2 linked regions of the Callithrix jacchus genome follow. Each later gene encodes a partner of the first gene's protein in a complex. Links are inferred from orthologs where the notes say so. Each region holds a gene or a part of one and is shown on either strand. Other genes may lie near its edges. The genes, in order: CAPZA2 and S100A1.

Evidence for each region.
Region 2: the proteins of CAPZA2 (region 1) and S100A1 are in contact, whole or in part, in an NMR structure (PDB 2KBM), measured with the Rattus norvegicus proteins. The link is inferred for Callithrix jacchus from reciprocal best matches to the Homo sapiens genes CAPZA2 and S100A1. Residues at the interface, in NP_001009180.1 of Rattus norvegicus: Thr267, Lys268, Ile269, Asp270, Trp271, Asn272, Lys273, Ile274, Leu275, Ser276; in NP_001007637.1 of Rattus norvegicus: Ser44, Phe45, Leu46, Asp47, Lys50, Asp51, Ala54, Lys57, Ile58, Glu61, Leu78, Ala81, Leu82, Thr83, Ala85, Cys86.

The regions. Positions count from the first base shown.
Region 1 is NC_133512.1:87,439,689-87,444,033, forward strand, and holds the start of CAPZA2 (F-actin-capping protein subunit alpha-2), read left to right. Parts: upstream 1-1,525; 5' UTR 1,526-1,637; coding exon 1,638-1,676; intron 1,677-4,345. UniProt on the Homo sapiens protein: F-actin-capping proteins bind in a Ca(2+)-independent manner to the fast growing ends of actin filaments (barbed end) thereby blocking the exchange of subunits at these ends.
Region 2 is NC_133519.1:14,044,811-14,049,345, forward strand, and holds the start of S100A1 (protein S100-A1), read left to right. Parts: upstream 1-1,595; 5' UTR 1,596-1,783; intron 1,784-2,980; exon of another isoform or gene 2,981-3,235; intron 3,236-3,642; 5' UTR 3,643-3,655; coding exon 3,656-3,796; intron 3,797-4,535. UniProt on the Homo sapiens protein: Small calcium binding protein that plays important roles in several biological processes such as Ca(2+) homeostasis, chondrocyte biology and cardiomyocyte regulation.

The sequences.
Region 1 (4,345 bases):
CTTGAACCTGGGAAGCAGAGGTTGCAGAATTGCTTGAACCTGGGAGGCAGAGGTCGCACCACTGCAATCCAGCCTAGGTGACAAAGAGAGACTCTGTGTCAAAAAGAAAAAAAAATTGCTTATCTGCAATTCACATTTGAGTAAGTGTCCTATATTTAATATGGCAACCCTATTCAAGAGGGTAGGATCCATGACTAACATGACTTTGTACTCCCCTGGAATAGTCCAATGCCTTCCCCAACTATTTTGTTGTTTGGCTTTTGGTTTTTTTTGTTTTTGAGTCTTGCTCTGTCGCCCAGGCTGGAGTGCAATGACTCGATCTCGGCTCACTGCAACCTCCCCCTCCAGGGTTCAAGCAATTCTCTTGCCTCAGCCTCCCAAGTAGCTGGTACTACAGGCATGTGCCACCATGGCTTGGCTAATTTTTGTATTTTTAGTAGAGAGAACTTTCTCCATGTTGGCCAGTCCGGTCCCGAACTCCTGACCTCAGGTGATCCTCCCACCGAGGCCTCCCAAAGTGCTGGGATTACAGGCCTGAGCCACTACACCCAGCCCCAGCTGTTCAATGTATGTTTGTTTAGAGTAGTAGGTGAGCTTCCTAGAACAGAAGTTTGTCTTATTGAAATAAATAGTTTTGGAGTACAGGTGGATTTTTGGTTACATGGATAAGCCCTTTAGTGGTGATTTCTGAGATTTTAGTGCAGCCATCACCTGAGCAGTGTACCCTGTTCCCGGTATGTAGTCATTTATCCCCTCCCCAATCCCCAAAGTCCATTTTATGCCTTTGCACCCCCAGAACTTAGCTCACCCTTTTAAGTGAGAACATAGGATATTTGGTTTCCTATTACTGAGTTACTTCACTTAGAATAATGGCTTCCAGCTCCTTTCAAGTTGCTGCAAAAAATATTATTTCCTTCTTTTTTATGGCTGAGTAGTATTCCATGGTGTATATATACCACATTTTCTCTATCCCCTCGTTGGTTGATAGACACTTAGGTTGGTTCCATCTCTGCAATTGCGAATTGTGCTGCTATGAACATGCATGTCTAGCTTGCTTTGGGGGAACCTCAACACTGTAACCCCGGAGACTAACACAGTGCCCCACACCCCGTTGAAGGACCAAAAAATATTTGTTGGATAAATAAGAAATATATCAAGAGCAATCTTTCAATTATGGAGCGGGTTGGGTGTGTGTATTTTAATGAAAGCCGACTATTTTTTCTAATATTTGAAAAACCAATGTTTAAAAAGCTTCTATTGCACACCTTTTCACATTTTAGCTAGCAGAGTTCAGGACTTGATGGAAACATAACGAAGGGCTCAGAATGTACTCATCGCAGACTGAGCCCATATGGTCACTGGTGGGGAGAGAAAGCTAGCAAACCTATGCAGGTGGCCCTGGGAGACACCGTCCCCCGCCGGGCCACCAGGCGCCCGCGCACGCGCACGCGCACAGCCGCGCTCAGGCTCTGAGGGCCGGTCGAGGGAGGCGGGGCTCCCGGGGCGCGTGCGCGGCGGCCTGAGCGGCGGGCCCCTCCCTTAGCGGGGGTGCGCGGCGCGGAGGACCGCACGGAAAAGGGGAAGTCAGGTGGCCGCCGCCGCCGCCGCCGCCGCCGCGGTTTGTCGCTAGAAGGAAGATGGCGGATCTGGAGGAGCAGTTGTCTGATGAAGAGAAGGTAAGAGCCGCGGGGGCGGCGGCGCGGGCCTTCAGGAGCCGGCTCAGCCCTGGCTTGTGCGCCCGGAGTCGGGTCGCTGGGGAAGCATTGGCCCGCAGCGGGCGGTGCCCTCGGCTGCCCTTCCTCCCCCCTTCCTCACTGCGCCCAGTGCCTGCCCCCGTCCGTCACCCGAGGCCCCGCGCGGGGGCAGGTCTCAGCCAGGCCTACTCACTCCGCTCCTTGTAGGGTGTGTGCTCCGAAAATAGGAAAGGGGAGCCAGGCGGCGGCGGGCGGGGGCGGGGGCGCGGGCGCCGGGGAGGGCGGCGGCCGCCCGGGACCCTCTCCTGTTACCCGGCCGCGGGGCCTGCGCCGGGAGCTGGGGGCCGGGGGCCGGGGACCGGGGACCGGGGGCGCAAAGGGGTCTGCGTCCCGGCTTGGGAGCGGCCCAAGGGCAGTGCCCAGAGCGGCAGCCTGGCCTGTGAGTGTAGCGGCGGGTGAGGGGAAGGGAAAAATTGCTTAGGAAGCAGACCTTCAGTTCTCCCTTCTACTTCCCCCTCCCCAAAGCAAAATGCTTCCTTTTCTGATTCTCTACGTTTTATGCTTTTTTTTTTCCTTTCCCCATGGAGGCCTGTCTCTCTCCCGCCCGCCCGCCCTCTCACTTCGTGGCTCTAGCTTTAGGCTTTGCAGCTCCCATGTTCCTCAAGAGGCAGTGGAGTTGCTCACAAAAAGACGACCCCCTCCCCATAGTTGTTTTCTATCCACGTTGGCAGCAGCCCCCCCGGGGGGCGATTTGATGGCACCTTACCTTCCTGCTAGGACTTCTTCCGAAGAGGGGAAATTGTGCAAGTCCTTTTACTGTATGTTAGATGCTGTGACAACACTGGAACCAGGTGAACGACATAAGTTCTCAGATATTTAAAACGAGAAATCGAATAATTCATTGAACTGTTGCTCTTTTACACTCTCCTTTCCTTTGGCTTTTGCGAACGTCCGGTTCCCGAGGGTAGTGGGGTAGGGGAGAACTCTGCTAATTTTGACAGTTTCTCGGAAAGGAACCTGAGGTTTCTCAAACTTAGAAGTACTCCCGAAGTAACTGACAGACACGAATGAGTTAGTTGCAGGGTTGGAAATGCTCTTTAACTCTTCGTTAAAGTGTGCTTCATTTTTAAGTTCCAAAGCTGTATAGCCAATGCAGGAAAATACAAGTACCTTTAGGTACGTTGTGGTGGTTAACAGATCCTCACGTAAGTTTGAGGATATTTTCAATTTGGACCCTCTGCTCTAGATGTTTTTATATACTGTATTCTTGCACTGAAAGAGAAGGTTCCGTCCCATTCCCGATGTGAATGGGCAGAAGTCAATCTCATCTTTATTTTGGAAATATTTTTTCCTCTTGTGCTCTTTGGTGAAAGTGATAATACAGCAACAAAATGGGGGTGAGCAACATCTCCATAACCCCCAGTAGGCAGATCCCTGTATCCAGAAAAGTTGCTGTGCAGTATTCACGTCTACAGTCTTGGTAAATAACCCAAAGTAGCTGTCCGAAAATGCACTGGAGTGCACAAACACATATTTAAAATTGAGTTGTGCTAAAAAGTTTAAAAAGAGATTGTCACGTTTTTATTTTACCATTCTTAAGTCGTAATTAGTAGTTGCTCAAGTGGCTAGAAATTTAGCTGAAGAGAGAATACTGTGTGGGAGTTAATATAGACCTGCCATGTGTTGTAAAGGCCTAAAATTAAAAAGCTTTTAAAAAATGGGTTTACAAAATTCCTTATTATCCAGCAGTCTCAGGGCACTAAGCTTCATGAGGAGGAGTGAGGAGGTTGTGTGTCTTCAAGCTTGCGCCGCCTACTAGCAAAATGTTTTATGGGTAAATTAGTGAAAATTCTAATTTGATTTTTGGTGTTTTGTAAGAATATTCTGTAGATATTATACATATAAATTTCATCACTATATTTACTAATTAAAAAACTGACAGAACTTTTGGGGTAAATGCAAGTAACCAGTTAAGTGAAATTTTAACGTTCTTGTCACTTTAGATATCTAAAGGTATTTTTCATTTTGGGGTGGAGGATGTGTCCAGTATGGGATCAGAAACAGAGAGGACTTGAAAGTGATATATTAATATTTCTCTTTCTACCGTCTTTTTGGTAATTTTCAAAAATAAGTTCTCAAGCTGGACACAGTGGTTTGCACCTGTAATGCCAGCTACTCTGGATGCCAAATGCGGAGAATTGCTTGAGCCTAGAAGTTGTAAACCAGTTGGGCAACATAGTGAGACCTCATCTCTAAAAAATAATAAGTTTTAAGTTTTCGAAATTTCCATTCTAGATTGCAAATCTAAGAAAGGGAAGCTGTTAAGATGTATCTAGTACTATACTTTATATATGCTTGGCTGAGTTAGATACATTCATTACTTAATTTGTTTTAAGAGGTAGTTGTCCTACTACCATTTCACAGATGAGTAGAGTGAAGTTCAAAAGCTTTTAGTAGGCCGGGCGCGGTGGCTCAAGCCTGTAATCCCAGCACTTTGGGAGGCCGAGGCGGGTGGATCACGAGGTCAAGAGATCGATACCATCCTGGTCAACATGGTGAAACCCCGTCTCTACTAAAAATATAAAAAATTAGCTGGGCGTGGTGGCGCGTGCCTGTAATCCCAGCTACTCGGGAGGCAGAGGCAGGAGAAT
Region 2 (4,535 bases), on another chromosome or scaffold:
CCCCACGCACTCCTGCACGCACTGTTGCCGTCCACCCCCCACGCACTCCTGCACGCACTGTTGCTCGATCACCCAAAGCTGCTTCCTGAATTTCTGCCTGAGCTGGCTCTGGGGGAGGGACCTGTGAGCCCAGGAATTAAAAATGATCTCCAGGCTCCCTCCAGGGTCCGTCAAGAGACTAACCGTGCAAGGAGATGGGGTGCAGCGAGCTGGAGCCTCAGGGCTGAGGTTTATAAGCGGCGAGGAGGGGGGAAAGAGTAGAGAGCAGCAGCTTCCAAGCCCGGAGGTGTCAGATTTCTATGGTCGATCCTGAAGACCAGAGACCGCCCAATCGCGCCTCTCGCCTGAACCGTCAGGCCTGGACCCGGGCTCCCTGCCAGCCACACGAGCGCCCCCACTTGGTCAAGGAGAGGAGCTGCCTGGACAAATGTTCAGCAGGGGTCCCAGGGTCCCACTCCTCTCAATATTGGGGGCTGCTGCCACCACACCCCACATCTAATCAGGAGTGTGTATGCTGAGTGGGGGAAGGGGGAGGCAACCAACTGAGGGAGCTCAACATTGGGAGGCCCAATCTGAGATACAAACGTTGGCCCCTAGCTGGGCATGGTGGTGTGTGCCTGTAATCCCAGCTGGGAGGCTGAGGCAGGAGAATTGCCTGAACCCAGGAGGCGGAGGTTACGGTGAGCCGAGATCGGGCCATCACACTCCAGCCTGGGTAACAAGAGCGAAACTCCATCTCAAAAAAAAATTAGACCCCCCCCACAGGCAGGGCGCAGTGGCTCACGCCTGTAATCCCAGCACTTTGGGAGGCGGAGGCGAGGGGATCATCTGAAGTCAGGAGTTCCAGATCAGCCTGACCAACATGATGAAACCCTGCCTCTACTAAAAATACAAAAATTGGCCGGGTGTGGTGGTGTATGCCTGTAATGTCAGCTACTCAGGAGGTTGAGGCAGAAGAACCATTGGAACCCAGGAGGCAGAGGTTGCAGTGAGCCTAGATTGCGCCATTGCACTCCAGCCTGGGTGACAGAGTAAGACTCAGTCTCAAAAAAAAATGAGACCCACAAAGGATGCTACAGACCAAGATCCCTCAGAGAACCCCAGGCTGAGGCCCCACACACAGAGAGGGATCCAAGTTGAGACCCCCAAGAGTCTGGGATTGAAATCCCTCTGTGGGGTCTCAGACTCCCAAGACTAAGTTACTCATTGAGGGTCCTCTCAGTGAGGTTGCATGGAGGAGCCACAGACTAAGACCCCCTCAGCAGAATTCCCCCCTTCCCCGGCTCAACCAGCACAGCCAGCCGCAGGTGCTGCAGGGCCCAGCTTGGGGTGAGAGGTCCAGTTCCTTCCCAGGATCTCCTTCCCACCTCTTCCCCTGCACCATCCGCTGCTGCCCAGAGAGAAAGGAACGGGCCAAGCAAGGCTGGAAAGAGACAAGGGCCGCCTGTTCCAGCCCAGGAGACAGAGGGCGCCTCTGTCAGCTCCTGGCCCTTTGCCCCACAGGGTGTCTGCCTGTGAAGGGGTGGAGTCGGTGGCGGGGGGTCAGCGGGGGAGGGACGGCTGAAGACAGGTCTCCACACACAGCTCCAACAGCCACATTTGAAGCCTCGGCCGTCTGTCCAGAACCTGCTCCCACCTCAGGCCCAGGCTGACCGTGAGTACCCTGCCCTACTGGGCTGGTCCTGGCCGGCCAGGTTTGGGGAGAGGGGTCTTCAGAAGGGCTCTGAAGAGCTGGGGACCATAGCGCTGTGGAGCACTGACGATCTGGCAGGAGTCAGTCAGGGTGAGGGCAGTTTGGGATCTGGGGGAGACAGGGTCTGGAAGGTGGTGAGGAGAGGCAAATGAACCAAAGGTCAGAGAGAGCTGGCAGCTCAGCAAAGGAGGAGGCCAGTGGGAAACCCACCCTGAGCTTCCTGGCCACCTGGCCCTCCCCAGGGAGCCCTCAAGTCCCTGCCAAGCCCCCTTCTGTCTCCCAGGTGTTGGGGAGGGCCCCCTGCACTCTCCTGCCTCACTTCCTGTGGGTGAAAAGAGAGCAGATGCAACAGCTGTTTCTGCCCCCACCCCTCCTGCCTGCCTTAGTCTCTGCCACCCCTCCTGCCTGCCTTGCCAAGAGCTCAGGTCCCTTGGAGTCTGGGGTGGCAGGGCGAGCCTCCCATGATATGGGGAAGGGGATGGAGGGTGCTGTGCCCATTCCCAACACTGCCTCCTCAGGGCCTCCCCTTTCTCCTTCTCCCCTTTTTGGCCCAGAGCTCTTGACTCCTCTTTCCCCCAATTCTTTCCTCTTTGTTTTCCCATCTGCCCCACCCCCAAGTCCTCTCAGAACTGGCCCCACATAAAATCCCAGGCTGCTCTAGGGCTCCACGCGACCTCCAGCTGCCCCTCTGGCATGGAGCGGGTAATCAAGCCTCCAGCATCCCTCCCTCGAGCAGCCTTTATCCCCTCATCAGCTATGGCTTGGGTTCCATCTCCCTCATGTCTCTGTGACAACCACTTCTCAGGTCCGGAGCTCAGATGACACTTACAAGGGCCCCATTGAAGAACTGGGATGTCATTCGATCAGGGCCCATTGTCTAGCCCCCTAGGCCTGGGGAAGGATGGGGACATCTGATCCCAGACATCTGAGCTGCCCCCATGGGGCTGTGGGGGGCCAGACTGTCCCAGGGCCAAGGGAAAGAGGCCCCCTGGTTTGGCAGTCTCCTCTCTCAACAGACCCCTCCTTTCTTCTACTCTCTCCTGGCCCCTCGAACTCAAAGGACCACATGCTCTCAGCCCTTTATCTCCCCCATCACATACCAGCCCCACTCCCCCTGCTCTCACTGTCCCTGAATCAACCAGGGCAATCACAGGGACAATGCCTGCAGGTCTCCTCTCCCCATCCCTGGGAACCCTGGCTCCAGGGAAAAGGCTCAGACATTCCTCTCTCCCCTCCCACCACCCACTAGACGGAAAGGATAATTTTGCAGAGGTTATAGAAGCATACCTCAGAGAAGTCAGAATGACACGTTCAGGAGGGAACAGAGTTGAAGGACCAAAAGGGGCCCCAGCTGCTGACAAGAATCTCAGAGCCAGCGAGACTTCCCTCCTCCAGAAGCCTTAGACCACCCACTGGGGCTGCCACCCCATCTGCCAGGCTGACCGGGGGCATCAGACTGACACCTTTGCTAGGGGTGGGCAGCAGAGGCAAGGCTGTAGTGGACACCCCAGCCCACCACCCTCAACAGCAGGGCTCAGCTATGCTAGGCAGGCAAGGTCCAAGGTAAAAATAGAGCCAGAGAAAGCATGGCCCAGTCCTGTGACCACCCCTGCCTGCCCCACCCTCCTCAATCCCTGCCTGGGCAGCCACCGCAGACATCTACCACAGGCCTCTGGAGCCAGCCCAGCTCCAACTGCTCTCTCCATGCCCCAACCCTGATTCCTTCTGGCTGGAGTACAGACTGAGGGACAGGAAGAACAGGTCTGCATTTAGGTCTGCTGGGGTTTCCCTCACATTGTAAAATCTCAGGGAAAGATCAATTGCAGTAGGGCTCTAATCCCACAGCTATTTGAGCTGTCAGCCAGGGCCAGGCCCGAGGGCTCCCCTCACCTAGACCCCAGGTACTCGGGGCCTGGTCCTCAGCTCCTTTCCTTGATGGGGTTGGGTAGGTGCACTGCCGCAATGGGCTCTGAGCTGGAGACGGCGATGGAGACCCTCATCAACGTGTTCCACGCCCACTCGGGCAAAGAGGGGGACAAGTACAAGCTGAGCAAGAAGGAGCTGAAAGAGCTGCTGCAGACGGAGCTCTCGGGCTTCCTGGATGTGAGCACAGAGTGGTGGAGTGGACGTGGACTGGGTGAAGGGGTGTGGGAACGGGGTGGGCACCCCCCTGCTGTCTCCCCACCCCACTACCAGCTCAGCCCAACCTCCTTCTTTCCTTTGCCAGGCTTCTCTCCTGGTTTTTTCCAGGCTCCTCTACTCCTCCAGGGTCAAGTCAAAATGCCCTGGTTTATTGATCACCTGTTACGTGTTAGGCCCTGCATAGATTCGTCAATAATAAGACTCACAGTATGGCCGGGTGAGGTGGCTCACACCTGTAATCCCAGCACTTTGGGAGGCCGAGGCGGGTGGATCACCTGAGGTCAGGAGTTCAAGACTAGCCTGGCCAACGTGGTGAAACCCCATCTCTACTGAAAATACAAAAATAGCCGGGCGCGGTGACTCACGCCTGTAATCCCAGCACTTTGGGAGGCCGAGGCAGGTGAATCACGAGGTCAAGAGATCGAGACCATCCTGGTCAACATGGCGAAACCCCGTATCTACTAAAAATACAAAAAAATTAGCTGGGCATGGTGGCACATGACTATAATCCCAGCTACTCAGGAGGCTGAGGCAGGAGAATTGCCTGAGCGGAGGTTGCAGTGAGCCGAGATTGCGCCATTGCACTCCAGCCTGGGTAACAAGAGTGAAACTCCGTCTCAAAAAAAAAAAGAAAATACAAAAATAAGCTGGGTGTGGTGGTGAGTGCCTGTAATTCCAGCTACTCGGGAGGCTGAAGTAA